Linked DNA regions of Mus musculus. The protein of the gene in region 2 purifies or fractionates together with the protein of the main gene of each other region. This does not show direct contact. Links are inferred from orthologs where the notes say so. Each region holds a gene or a part of one and is shown on either strand. Other genes may lie near its edges. The genes, in order: Tapbp, Tap1 and Canx.

The links.
Region 1: the proteins of Tap1 (region 2) and Tapbp purify together in Homo sapiens (co-immunoprecipitation; 6 studies listed by BioGRID and IntAct, with this or other methods). This does not show direct contact. The link is inferred for Mus musculus from reciprocal best matches to the Homo sapiens genes TAP1 and TAPBP.
Region 3: the proteins of Tap1 (region 2) and Canx purify together in Homo sapiens (affinity purification with mass spectrometry; 3 studies listed by BioGRID and IntAct, with this or other methods). This does not show direct contact. The link is inferred for Mus musculus from reciprocal best matches to the Homo sapiens genes TAP1 and CANX.

Annotation. Positions count from the first base shown.
Region 1 is NC_000083.6:33,917,890-33,922,488, forward strand, and holds the start of Tapbp (tapasin isoform 2 precursor), read left to right. Parts: upstream 1-1,588; 5' UTR 1,589-1,798; coding exon 1,799-1,835; intron 1,836-1,981; coding exon 1,982-2,161; intron 2,162-2,180; exon of another isoform or gene 2,181-2,359; coding exon 2,360-2,620; intron 2,621-4,599. Other genes in the region: Zbtb22 (zinc finger and BTB domain-containing protein 22), read left to right, coding at 1-910. UniProt on the Homo sapiens protein: Involved in the association of MHC class I with transporter associated with antigen processing (TAP) and in the assembly of MHC class I with peptide (peptide loading).
Region 2 is NC_000083.6:34,190,366-34,194,164, reverse strand, and holds part of Tap1 (antigen peptide transporter 1), read right to left. Parts: intron 3,603-3,799; coding exon 3,397-3,602; intron 2,837-3,396; coding exon 2,639-2,836; intron 1,329-2,638; coding exon 1,200-1,328; intron 1,038-1,199; coding exon 849-1,037; intron 681-848; coding exon 507-680; intron 285-506; coding exon 122-284; intron 1-121. UniProt on the Homo sapiens protein: ABC transporter associated with antigen processing. In complex with TAP2 mediates unidirectional translocation of peptide antigens from cytosol to endoplasmic reticulum (ER) for loading onto MHC class I (MHCI) molecules.
Region 3 is NC_000077.6:50,322,815-50,327,407, forward strand, and holds the start of Canx (calnexin precursor), read right to left. Parts: upstream 2,860-4,593; 5' UTR 2,679-2,859; intron 1-2,678. UniProt on the Homo sapiens protein: Calcium-binding protein that interacts with newly synthesized monoglucosylated glycoproteins in the endoplasmic reticulum. It may act in assisting protein assembly and/or in the retention within the ER of unassembled protein subunits.

The DNA.
Region 1 (4,599 bases), about 270 kb from region 2:
TGAGGATGAAGAAATGGGAGGCGGCTCTGGGGTTCCTGCAGGGGGAGAGCCCGAGGCTACCCTCAGTATCAGTGATGTTCGGACCTTGACCGAGCCTGCAGACAAGGGGGAAGAGCAGGTCAACTTCTGTGAATCCTCCAATGACTTTGGCCCCTATGAGGGTGGGGGCGCTGGGGCAGGGCTTGATGACCCCGGAGGACCCACCCCTTCCTCCTATGCCCTCACCCACCCTCCACGACCCCTCCTTCCATTGGATGTGCCGGGCAACCAGATCTTGGTTTTCCCATCCTCCTCTTCACAGGCTCCAGGCCAGCCACCAGGGAACACAGCTGAGCACGGGGCAGTGACCCTCGGGGGCACCTCTGCGGTGGGGCTGGGCATACCAAGTGGCTCTGGTGGGGCTCCTGGAGGGACAGGCAACAGCGACGGGAATAAGATCTTTCTGTGCCACTGTGGGAAGGCTTTCTCACATAAGAGCATGCGGGACCGGCACGTGAATATGCATCTCAACCTGCGACCCTTTGACTGCCCCGTGTGCAACAAAAAGTTCAAGATGAAACACCACCTGACCGAGCACATGAAGACACACACGGGCCTCAAGCCGTACGAATGCAGTGTCTGCGCCAAGAAGTTCATGTGGCGGGACAGTTTCATGCGTCACCGGGGACACTGTGAGCGTCGGCACCGGATGGGTGTGGGTGGGGTCGGATCTGGACCGGGTCCTGGACCTGGACCCGGGACACCTTCTGGGCCAGCATTGCAACCCAAGAGGGAGTCTTCCACAGTGGGTGGGGGCAGTGGCGATGAGGCAAATTCGGCCACGCCCCCGTCCCATAGGCGTGTCTGGTCCCCACCCAGCGTGCACAAAGTGGAGATGGATTTCAGTGGGGGTGGAGGTGCAGCACACTGAAGAGCAGGCAATTGGGGAGCTTAGTCTAAGAGCAATGGCTCCCGGGGTTTCCCCCACCAAACAGTCTTCCCTTACCTCGGTGGACTTGTATATATTCTAGAGAAGGGCGTGGGTTGCACCGTCGCCAGCCCGTTCCATTCCTCAGCCCCTTCCTCGAGATCTCTGGAACTAAGCTGTGTTTTTGCTTTTCCCCTGAGCACACCAGAGCCCCACCTTCACGGAGTAGTGCCAACAAGGTGGGGGAATGGAAAAGGGACCTTTTGAGCATCCTAGAGTCACAGAGCCAACAGTCAGGTTGTGCTAGTTTGTGCCTGAAGTCTGTGTTTGTGTTGTGGGACAAGGCCTTTGAGTCTTAACGATTGTCCTTTCTCCTCTTGAAGGATACGCCCCTTATTTCTGTACTACCCCACCCTTGCCATGGGGATCCCAAATTGGGTTGTCATGAAAGTGGGTGGACACAAGGTGGGAGCCGCGTAGTATAGGTCTTAATTTTTAACGGTGATTAAAATATTTATTGGTCACTTCACTTGGCTTCCCAACACCCCTCTGTTTGCTGGGACCTGGCACAGGTCTGGGAACGCGGGAGTGTGGTTTTAAGGGAGGTGGCGCGGAGAGGGCACAGCAGGAGGGCGGAGTCTAGGCTGATAAAGGGCTCAAAGTTGGCGCAGTCCGGTGAGCCAAGGGGGTGGGTGCAGGGCGAGGAGTGGCTGGAGAGCTACAGACAGGGTTTCGGCAACTCTGTTTGGCCCCTGTGGGCGGCGTTCCTCCAACGCGCAGTCACGCCCTCACCTGACCAGATCGGGGAATTTCCAGTTCCTCACCCCAGCCTTAGAAGGAAAATGAAAGTGAAAGGGGAAGAAAAGACTTGGTAGGAGAGATCGTAGCACCATGAAGCCTCTGCTCCTGCTCGTCGCTGTGGCACTGGGTGAGCAGACCCCATTTCTTCTTGTTTAGGAATAGACACACTGGGAAGGAGAGGGAGGAGGTCCCATGGCGGGTCTGAAGGGGCGGGCCGGTCGCCGGTCGCCGGACATCCTATGGCCCTCTGGTCACCGGAGCCCCTCTCCCCAGGCCTAGCGACCGTCGTCTCCGTCGTCTCGGCTGGACCAGAGGCGATCGAGTGCTGGTTCGTGGAGGATGCAGGTGGGGGTGGCCTGTCTAAGAAACCTGCCACACTGCTACTGCGCCATGGACCCAGGGGACCGCCGCCCCGGCCAGATCTTGACCCAAAGCTATACTTCAAGGTGGATGGTGAGTCTTCGGGACTTACCTGCATCTGTCGCCTCCTCTTAGCTCACGCAGGGACGCTGGGCCTCAGTTTTCCCTTTTGTAAATACGTTTGGATGCTCTCTAAGTCGTTCACTACTTTGCTAGTTTGTGCCTTCCGGCCTGTGTGTAGTCAGCACATTTCCAGTCCGGGCTACCGTTACACCCTTTTCGGTTCTGCAGACCCGGCGGGAATGCTCCTGGCCGCCTTCAGGCGGTACCCCGCAGGCGCCTCCGCCCCACACTGCGAGATGAGCCGCTTCATCCCGTTCCCTGCCTCGGCGAAGTGGGCTAGAAGTCTGAGTCCGGAGCAGAACTGCCCGCGGGCCCTGGACGGGGATTGGCTGCTGGTCAGCGTATCCAGCACTCTCTTCAGCCTCTCCAGCCTGCTGCGACCACAGCCGGAGCCTCTGCGGGAGCCTGTCGTCATCACCATGGCAACAGGTAGCCGCCGAGAGGCGCGCGAGATGGATGGGTAGTTTTTAAGGATCTAGATGGGCCAGTTCGGCGACTCGCCAAGAGGTTTGAATGGGTCATTTCTTCAACTGGGGATCAGTATATATTCTTTTGTTAAGGGAAGGGAGTTGGTTAGATTTTATCTTCACCCTTCATTGTAGGCTGAGAGTAAAATTGAAACCTACTGTGGTTTGGGGGCGGGACTTTGCAGAGGCGGTCATGGTGTCGGTTTCCAGATCCCAGAGTTTGAGAAACTCATAAGGTTAGGCGTCCCGAAACCCAAATTTTTTCTGCACCCATCCTAGGTTTCAAAAATCACACTTTGAGTCTCTTCAAAGCGCACTAGAGACTAGGGACAGTCAGCCCAGCAAGGAACCTCTTGCCAAGGCTCTCGGCCACGGTCTTTAGTGCCTCAACAGTGGCCTCTAGTGGGCAGAACGGTGGCTTGTGCACAGGTGCGGTTCTGCCGCTTGAGTTCCCAGAGATCCACCCACCACTTTGCTGTGCTGGACAGGGGAAGGGGCACTCTATGGGGTAGATCTGTCTTGAATGTCCTGAATGTTTGCTTTTCTCTCTGGACACCACCTAACAGGTAGATAGAATCGTCATTGGCTTTCCCCATTTCTGGTGCTTTTATGCAAATATTCTCACCGAACTCAGTCCTTTGCCTTCATCATTTGAAGTCTCCAAATGGGGACAGTCTGAAACTCCACTGGCACCTCTACTCTTAGCTCCACCCTGTGCAGGCCCTTTGTGGGGACAGTAGTTCTCTTGAAACCACCTGCCCTCACACTGCTGGTCTTCATGTGGGATGGTGTTGGCTACCTTTTGCCCTATGGGTCGTTTTTTTCCAACTGTAAGAAGTAGGATCTATTTTGCCAGCTACTTTTATTTGTGGCATTGAAGCAAGGCCCTGTGCAGCTATGTGCTGGTCCAATAAATGTTATTAGCACCAAGAAAAAGTTAGGACCCTGAGGTCCCCAGATCGACCTCCAGATAACTAGCAAAGAACCTACTGAAAGCTTGGGCTTGGGAATCACAGTGTATGGGGTGGCCCTGCGTGCTCAGTGACGGGTGATCAGATGTCGACTCACCGTGCTTCTCAGATCTGTCAAAGATAATCCCATGTGGCTTCTGCAGGGCAGGTGTGTGTGCCTCAGTGACTGTATTAGTTATTTGCAGAGTTAGTTTTGTATGTGTGTGTGTGTGTGTGTATGGGTATATGCGTGTGAGTGCAGCTGCCCAGGGAATCCAAAAGAGCTTGTTGGATCCTCTGGGGCTGGGTTACGGCTGGTTGTGAGCCATGTGGCGTGGGAACCGACCTTGGGTCCTCAGAAGTGCAGTCTGTGGTTTAAAGTGCTGAGTAGCCTCTCTAGGCCCTTATCTGAGTCCTAGAGTGCTCTGGACCAGAGCTGACTCTCAGAAGACTACTTCGCATAGACTTGGGGTAAAATCAAGTTACTATGGCCTGTCTTCCCCATCAGATCACTTTCAGGTCACTTCTGCTTGATATGAAAATCATGAAAATGGGGGTGGGGGTGGGGGTTGGGTAGATGGCACATCAGTTAAGAGGACTGGCTGATCACCCAGAGGGTCTGGGTTCACTTCACAGCACCTACATGACAGCTCACCGCTGTAACTCCAGTCTCAGGGGAGCTGGCACTCTCACAGACATACACACAGGCAAAACACCAGTGCACCTAAAAGAAACCATTTAAAATCTTCTAAAAAGAGAGAAAATAATGAAAGTGGTTTATTTGTTGCTGTCACCTTCCCCCTCCTGCTCCCAGGGCACTGACAGCGTCAGGGAAGCTCTCTGCCAGCAAACCTCAGCCCCAGCTTCCTTCAGCCTTTGGTTGAGACACAGGGTCAGCTCCTAAGCAGGTTCCCTTGCCCTTCCTGTGCAGCCCAGGCAGGTCAGTTGAGGACTTTCCTCGCTCACCTTGCAGAAGCTGCTGCAGCAGGCT
Region 2 (3,799 bases):
GGCAGATGGAGTCTGAGGATGTGAATCTTAGAGTTTCAACTACAAATTGACATCCAAGGGACAAGAGGGATTGAATAATAAAGGCAGGATTGTTGGAATCTGGATGGGAGAGTGCAGATACCTGTGTCATAGCCCTGAGGGAACCCAGAGATGAAATCGTGGGCTCCAGACTCCACGGCCACAGCTGTGATTTCCTCCATGGTTGGAGTCCGGTTCAGGCCATACGCAATATTTTCTCGAAAGCTTCTTCCAAATAGCAGCGGCTCTTGTCCCACTGCGGCCACCTGAGGTCAAATGTGAAGAGCCACAGGCAAGAAACACCAGTGTTATTGTCCAGGGACTGAAGATTCACAATCTTGTGCATACCATACAGTCACGTGACTTCTGTCCACAGCCCCGACTCTGCCCATGGCTGCCTGCATCCCCTAACTCTCTGCAAGAGTTTTCGTGGAGAATTGTCTCTTGGCTTGATCTCCTCCCCTCCCCCACACCTCCTTCTTGCTCACCTGAGTGTGCAGGTAATGGTGATCATACTGGACCAGGCACTGGCCATCCAGCAGCAGCTGGCCCCCGGTGGGCTGGTACAGGTTCTGCAGCAGGGCAGCCACGGTGCTCTTCCCTGATCCATTGGGTCCCACCAACGCTGTCACCGTTCCAGGATGCAGGGTGAACGTCAGCCCCTGGAGGCCAGAGAAGCTCGTGGCAAGGAGGAGGAGGAGGAGAAGGAGGGAGAGGAGGAGAAGGAAGAAGAAGAAGAAGAAGAAGAAGAAGAAGAAGAAGAAGAAGAAGAAGAAGAAGAAGAAGAAGAAGAAGAAGAAGGAGGCATAAAAGGGATGGGTAGACAGTACCTGAAGCACCTGGACTTTGGGCTGGTTTGGGTAGGCAAAAGAGACATCTTGGAACTCCACAAGGCCTTTCATGTTTGAGGGTGCCAACGAGCCACTGAGTGGAGAGCAAGGAGTCCGGTCCAAGTATTCGAATATTTTCTCTGAGGAGCCCACAGCCTTCTGCATGGAGGGGTAGAGGGAGAGCAGGACCTGCATTGCAGAGCGGGGTGTGTGTGAGCCTGGGATGGACCACGAAAGCAAGTGAGCCGTCTAACCTGCTTGACAGCATTCAGGGAACAGGCGGAGGATGCGCAAAGCGGCAGAGAAGGCAATGGACAGGCTGAGACCGCCGACTGCGGGGGCGGGGCTCACCTGAACAGCCTGGGTGAACTGAAGCTGGTAGAGAACGAATGAGACAAGGTTGCCGCTGCTGACAGCCCCTCTGATCACCAGCTGCCCGCCCAGGTACAGAATTCCCACCTTCAGCAGCATTCCCGAGACCTACAGGGAAACCATGGGATGAAACGAACTGCAATGATCACATGGAAGGTCTTTTCTCCCAGACACGTGAGATTAGGGGGAAGGCGGGGTCAATGGTCAGACTCAAACACAGCTCACATCTTCCATGTCCTCCTCCTCATCGCTGCCGGCTCCTTGTTTCAGGAGCATTTGACACTTTTTAAAAAGATTTATTTTTATAGTTCTAAATTATGTCTGTGTGTCTGTCTGTCTGTCTGTCTGTCTGTCTGTCTGTCTGCGGGTACAGGCATATGAGTGTAGGCACCCACAGAGGTCAGAAGAGGGCATCAGAACCCCTAGAGCTACAGCCGCAGGCAGTTGTGAGCTGCCCTTCATAAGTGCCGGTCACCTGGAAGAGCAGTCTGCATCCTTAACAGCTGAACCATGTCCACCCTGTATTACAAAGCTAAACACAGCGGCTCACATCACGAGCCTCTGTATAGGAGATTATGTTATTATGTTATACCTTTCTTGCTGCTGTTTAATATTACTTTTTTACTACATTTGTTTGTTTGTTTGTTTGTTTGTTTACTTATTTTTGTATGTGAGTAGGCACCACAGTGCACCTTGTGGAGGTGAGAGGACAACTTTCAGGAGTCAGTTCTCCTGTCCTCCATATGGGTTCCTGAGATGGATCTCAGGTCACCAGGCTCAGCAGCACGACAGCAGGCACCTTTACCTACTGAGTCATCTCACTCCCCAATACCCTTTAATGAGACAAGTCTCACATCATAGCTCATGATGGCTGGAAACTCACAGCAATCCTCCTGCCTCAGCATGAGTCCTGGGATTACAGATGTGAACCACCACATCAGGTTTTACTCCCATTTTTCAAATCAGGGCAACAGCCTCAGAAAAAGGTAACATGTGCTGGATACAGAACTGGTGGGTGGCAGGAAGGATCCTGGAATCTCGGTTACAGCTTTAGTTCCAGCTGCCCCTGGCCGCTGGCCTCTGGCACTTCTCGTGGCTCCCACTAGCTTGCCCACACAGTGCCAACATGAAGCGCACACCGTGCAGGAAATGTGTGGCTTTCTGAGAAGCCAAGGAAGTGCCGGAGTTGGGAGAGTGGTATCTCCTTAACACACAGGTCAAGTGGGCTTTGTGTGCCAATGTGGAAGGCTGATTCTTAACACTACAAAACACTGAGAGAATTAAGGGCAGAGTCCTTAATTGAGTAATCAAGAGCCGAAGCCAATCACTTCCCACTGGAGGAGGAGCAGGGGGGTTGGAAAACAGCAGAATCAAGACATGTTCACACAAAGGATGGGATATCCACCTCCTGTACTCACACTCGTGGTCCAGACTTCAGCCACGTAAGCCAAGGCCTCCTTCTTGTTTAGAGTCTTCATTTCTTCCAACTTCTGCCTGAACTTCTGGGCCTCACCCTCCTCGTTGGCAAAGCTCCGCACAGTAGGCATCGCCGATAAGGCCTCAAGGGCCACCTGCGTGGACTTTGCTAGAGACTCCTGCACCTTCACTGCCAGTGACTATGGAAGACAAGGACCAGAGACATCACACGGGGTGCAAATGAGAGAGAATATGGACACCTAGGTTAGCTGCGTGGAGATTATAGAGTCAAGAGTCAGAGGGACAGAGGGAAGAGAAAGGTCTACAGCCATACTTCTAGGTAGAAGGGGCGTGGAGGAAATGAATCCAGTTTTTGTAAGATTTATTTTATCGTGTATGTGTGTGCATCATGTGTATAGATCTCCATGGAGACCAGAAGAGGGAGTCAGATCCCCTGAAGCTGGAACTACAGACCACAGAGAACTAACTGCTTAGTGTGCACTGGGAATCAAACTCAGGTCCTCTGAGGAACAGTCAGCACTCTTAACCCCGAGCCGTCTCTCCAGCCTGAGAGCCTATTCTTTAAGGACAGATTGTGGCCAGAAGTTAGACAAGAAGGCAGAGTACAGAGATGCAGGTGCAGGGCAGTGCGGGGTCAGAGGTCACAGGTCAGAGGTTCAGGATGATGGAGGACTGGAAAGCCACACTGAAAGCAGTCTAGGAGAAACTAAATGTAGGAGCTGAGGATCTGGGGACGTACCTGATGCACTTTTCCCAGCTTCTTAGGCAAAAGAAAAAGCAGGGGCAGGTTGATCAGGGTGACCAGAGTGAGGTACGGTGACCCCCAAAACATGAACACCAAGAGACACAGGGCTCGCCCCAGGTACCACAGCAGCAGGCTCAGCGTGCCACTAATGGACTCGCACACGTTGGCTGTGTCCTCAGTCACCCGAGATGTGATGGAACCTGCCCAGATTGAGAAGAGAGACAGTGAGCAAGCGGTTCACAGAGACAAGAGGAGCTGACAGTGGGGGCCAGGGTGGGCCCGTCAGCACAGCATCCTGAGGCGGGTAACGGGTAGGAGACTGGGGAGGCGCAGGAACTTCAATGCAGGGGGAAAAGAAAGGAAAGATCTGGTTAGGCCTGTGCTTGCCAGTAAAGGA
Region 3 (4,593 bases), on a different chromosome or scaffold from region 2:
TTGATACAGGGTTTCTCTGTTGTAGCCCTGGCTGTCCTGGAACTCACTCTGTAGACCAGGGTGGTCTTGAAGTCAGGGATAAATCTGCCTCTGCTTCCCTCATGCTGGGATCAAAGGTGAGCCACCACCACACCACCCAGCTAATAAGTGATTTTTTTTAAAAGAAACTTTTTCCTATTAATTCACTTTAAGATGTGAATACGCAGGATGGAGAGATGGCTCAGTGATTAAGAGTTGAATTCCCAGTTGGGCAGCTTACAACTGTTTGTAATTCCAACTCTAGAGAATATAATGCCCTTTACTGGCCCCCATGAATAATATATTGCATATATATTCACACCAACATACACATATTTTTAAATATATATATATATGTACATAGTACACACACACATATTAAAGATTTATTTCATGTATATGAGTACACTGTCCTCAGACACACCGGAAGAGGGCATCGGCTCTCATTAGAGATGACTGTGAGCCACCATGTGGTTCCTGGGAATTGAACTCAGGACCTCTGGAAGAACAGCCAGTGCCCCCAACCGATGAGATATCTCTCCAGCCCTAAATAAATCTTAAAATGATTTTTTTTAAAGACAAGAATACAATATAAAAATTGTCTAGATTCCTTAAAAAAAAAAAAAAAGAAAAAAGAAAAATTTCAGGGCTGAAGACATAGTTGCTGCTCTTCCAGAGGACCCAGGTTTGATTCCCAGCACCAATATGATGGGTCTCACACACATGGTACACAGACATACATGCAGGCAAAACACACATACACAGAAAATTAAATAAGCCTAAAAATTCTTTCCTAGCATTTGTAGCAATAACAAAGCATTTAACAAGCATTTTCCTAATGAGTTTTACAGTAAGCTATACAGACTACAACTATCTTTGGCACTTTAATTACTTCTTAGGACTTTTTATGAGCTGCCAATACTATTTGTCCATTTCCTTACACTTTCCCAAACAGTTTCTTAGTATCTGCCCTCTCAAAGGCAAAGCAAGTAGCACACTCATCCCCATTTCTTTCTTTCTTTCTTTCTTTCATTCCCATTTTTAAAGGATAGGAATTAAAGTTATCATGCTGGACAGTCTTCTGCAGTTATTCTTAGCAACTGCCACTCTACTCCCTCAAAGTTCTCTTACTGGGCAAGTGACCTCTGCAGGACAAGGATGCAAGGTGTGTTGTCAAGATGCACATGCCTTGTGGCTCTTGAAAGATTAAGGAGTTAATTGCACTGTTGAGTTAAGATAGCAAGGAGGTGACACCCATTCACAGACAGTTCGGTAAACTCCTATTGTGAATGGCTCACTACTATATACAGTTCTTCAGGGCCTGGCTCACCTGTAGTGTACCCCTGCCTGGCCTGTAAGCTTAATTACAGTATAAGTACAACATGAGAATTGATTCTGTTCATGCCCTTTCAAAGGTTACTGGAAAATATACAAAGATTTTTAAGGTAACCCAACTTGTCCCCCTTTAAAGGGGTGGGAGGGCAAATTATTTTTAAAAAACAGGCAGATTCTTCCATTTCTGAAGGGTAAAGAGACTGTAGCTCAACTTTGCCAAGCTTTTAGTATTCAGTTTGGTTTAACTTCACACAACTAGCAATGCAATCACTAGTGTCATGACCAGCAGTTAATACACAAAGTGTCATCAATGTGTCCTCAGGTCTTGGCACACAGGCCTTCAATATAAACATTAGTGTATCAGTGTAATGACCAAGGCATTCGGATTTCAAGAAGCCAGTTCGATTCCTACCCACTGAACCTTTACTACACATCCAATTTCTCATTCCCATTCCCTCGGAATTCAATACAAGGCCCATCAGTCATTCTGTCTACTCCTGGGGACTGAGCCCTAAAGTAGAAAAAAAAAATCTCCCAAATTCCCACTCCCCCGATTAATTGCAGTTAGGTGCTTGAACCAGGACTTTTAACCCAAACGGTCTAGTGCTCAGTTACAATCCCAACTGGATGACTAGAACTACCTGTATGACCTTGGGCCAGTCATTTCAAACTTCTAGGCCTCAGTTTCCTCCCCTCACTAACTGAACTTTCGCTTGTATCTCCTGCTCTTAAGGTCCTGTGAACACCCACACTGGATTACTATCTATCCACCACCGAATAGGCAGGTGCTTTAATAGTTAAGCCTTAAGTTTCTCAAGCGGTACACGTTCTAGTACATTCTACTCCCTCATCAGGATGCTATGGTCCAGTCTTCCCTTTGGGCAAGTTATTTTCTAATCTGTAACGCTTATCTCTGGATTTACTTCACCTTTCCCTGCTATTTGGGCTACCTACTAGGCCGAATTCTAATACCACACCTGTACCGGATTACTCAGCCCACCTCTGGGTGGGCCTGGCCAGGGCCTAAGAAAGCTCTAGAAGCAAAGCCGTAGGAAGTTGTTAGCTTTCTCAGAGGTCAAGGGAAACCCCAGGACACCTGCCACGCCTCCCGACCCCGGCGGCGCTGCCCAGGCTAGCCTCTCTAACCCGGCCGCTCTCCTCACTGCCCTGCGCGTCCGCCCAGGCCTGCGCCATTCGAAAGCCCGCCCGACCCCTCAGTCGTCGAGCCTACAGCCACGCCCGACCCCCTCCGCCACGGCGCCGCTCGCCCAGTCCCCCAAGGCTCGTCCCGGGCCTGAGATCCCCGCACACGCTTCCCGTCTCACCTCGAGCCTCCCGGGGACCACTGGCGGCTCCCTCACCTTCTCCCACCCGCACACCCGGCCCCGTGCTGCAGTGGAGACAGCGGCAGAGGCGGCCCGACCGTCACGTGCCGCAGAACTAAGAGGCCTCGGCTACGGCCGCCGCGCGAGCGAGCCCCACCGCACGAAGCCCAACCCCGCGTCCGCCCCTCGTTCCTGAGTGGCTAAAACGAACGTCAGATCCCGCCCCTTTGCGCAAGATCTAAGAATTTATTGGTAGATACAGCCATCGCTCGAAGCGCCTTCCCATACGCCCCCTAGGGCTATTCTTCGTGGAGCGTGGTGATTGGTCAATAGCGAGGCAGGAAGTGGTTGCTGATTGGGTATGAAGGAGGAAGGCGGGCCGTCACCAAACGGGCGGGCGCGCGCCGCGGAGGGCGGACGGATCTGGCACGCGTTCTCGCGTGGGTCGCCCTAGTCCCTCAGGGCGGGTGTGTTGGACATCCAGAAGACGGCTTTCCGACCCATTGAGTTAGGAACTCTGTCCCAACCCCGCCTGGGACCTATGGCCTTCATCACAAATGGTGAGAGGTCGGGCGGTGTGCTTGCGCAGTGAGTGAAATCCCTCTGGGTAGCAGACACCGCCTTTCCTGCGGAGTCATCGCCCTGAGCTCAGGAGCCTGAGACCTCTTTACCTAACAAAACACTACCTAGATTCACAATCAAGCCACATGGAGTCACTTTCCCATGTGCCCGTGCTGTTTCCTGATTTTAGTCGTTAAAATCAGACATACCTAAGCGACAGAGTTGAGGAAAAGGGTGATGCCATGTGCAGATTTAAAATAGCCTTTTCATAACCCACTCGTTTTTCAATATGCTGATAACGCTGTAAGATTGAAGTGGCTAAGGATTTGGCTAGATCCTTGAGAATCCTGATCGCCTCGGGTTGTATTTGGTGACCCAAAGCTTTGAATAATGTGGAAAGAAACAGCAGGTTTTTCTACATGTGAAACGAGCTTTGTTCCTGCCACCCCAAGAGAAAGGCAGTAAGGATTTGATGTTTGGGTCAATTTAGTAACCGCCAATTCTCTCTCCCTAATTTTAAAGAAGAGAAATTGCTTTCCTTATTTGCCTTATAAAGAGCATGTTCAAAATGAAAATTTGAAGCCAGCTTGGCACAGGCAGTACACATAATTTAAAAAAAAATTCTAAATTTACTTAGGTTGAGTTCTGGCTTGTGTTACCCAAGATGGCCTTGAATTTAAGAAAGCCAAAAAATCGACTTCTGCAGAGAGGTGTTAAAATATGTCAGTACTGAAGGAGTAGAGGAGTTGAGGCAGAACTTTTCTGTCTAAACTGACAAAGACTTGAACTGGACCTCATAGATATGCAAATTTTCTGTAGGTGGAGTTGGAAGGAAGTTCTTGAGATGAGAAAATTGTACAGAAGAGCAAAAAAGTGACTCTCAGGTATTTGGGGGATCCATATACTAAAAATGTTTTGGGAGCAATGGAGATGGCTCAGCAGGTAAGGACACTTGCCACCAAACCTGATGGCCTGAATTTAATTCCCAGAACTCAACGTGGTGAAAGAAGAGATTGAATTGTACTCTGACCTCTATACAAATTCACATACATACATTAATAAATGTGAAATTTTAATAAAAATGAGGACATGATGGCTCTAAACTATACTGTCCACAAAGAGACTGGGAACGTCAGTCTTCTGGTCTGTTCATGGTGTGTCATTATAGAATATTACAAGTTTCTTTTATGTTTCAGTTTATCCAAACAGCTAAACCTTAACAAAGTTAGCAAATACAAAGAGACTAGGCATATACCTTCAAGTCAGTTAGTGTTAACCTGAGTAGACCTTCAGGAATTGATGAGCCTTATTTATCAGAGATAGCTTATTCATCCAACACAAGTTATTACTTATC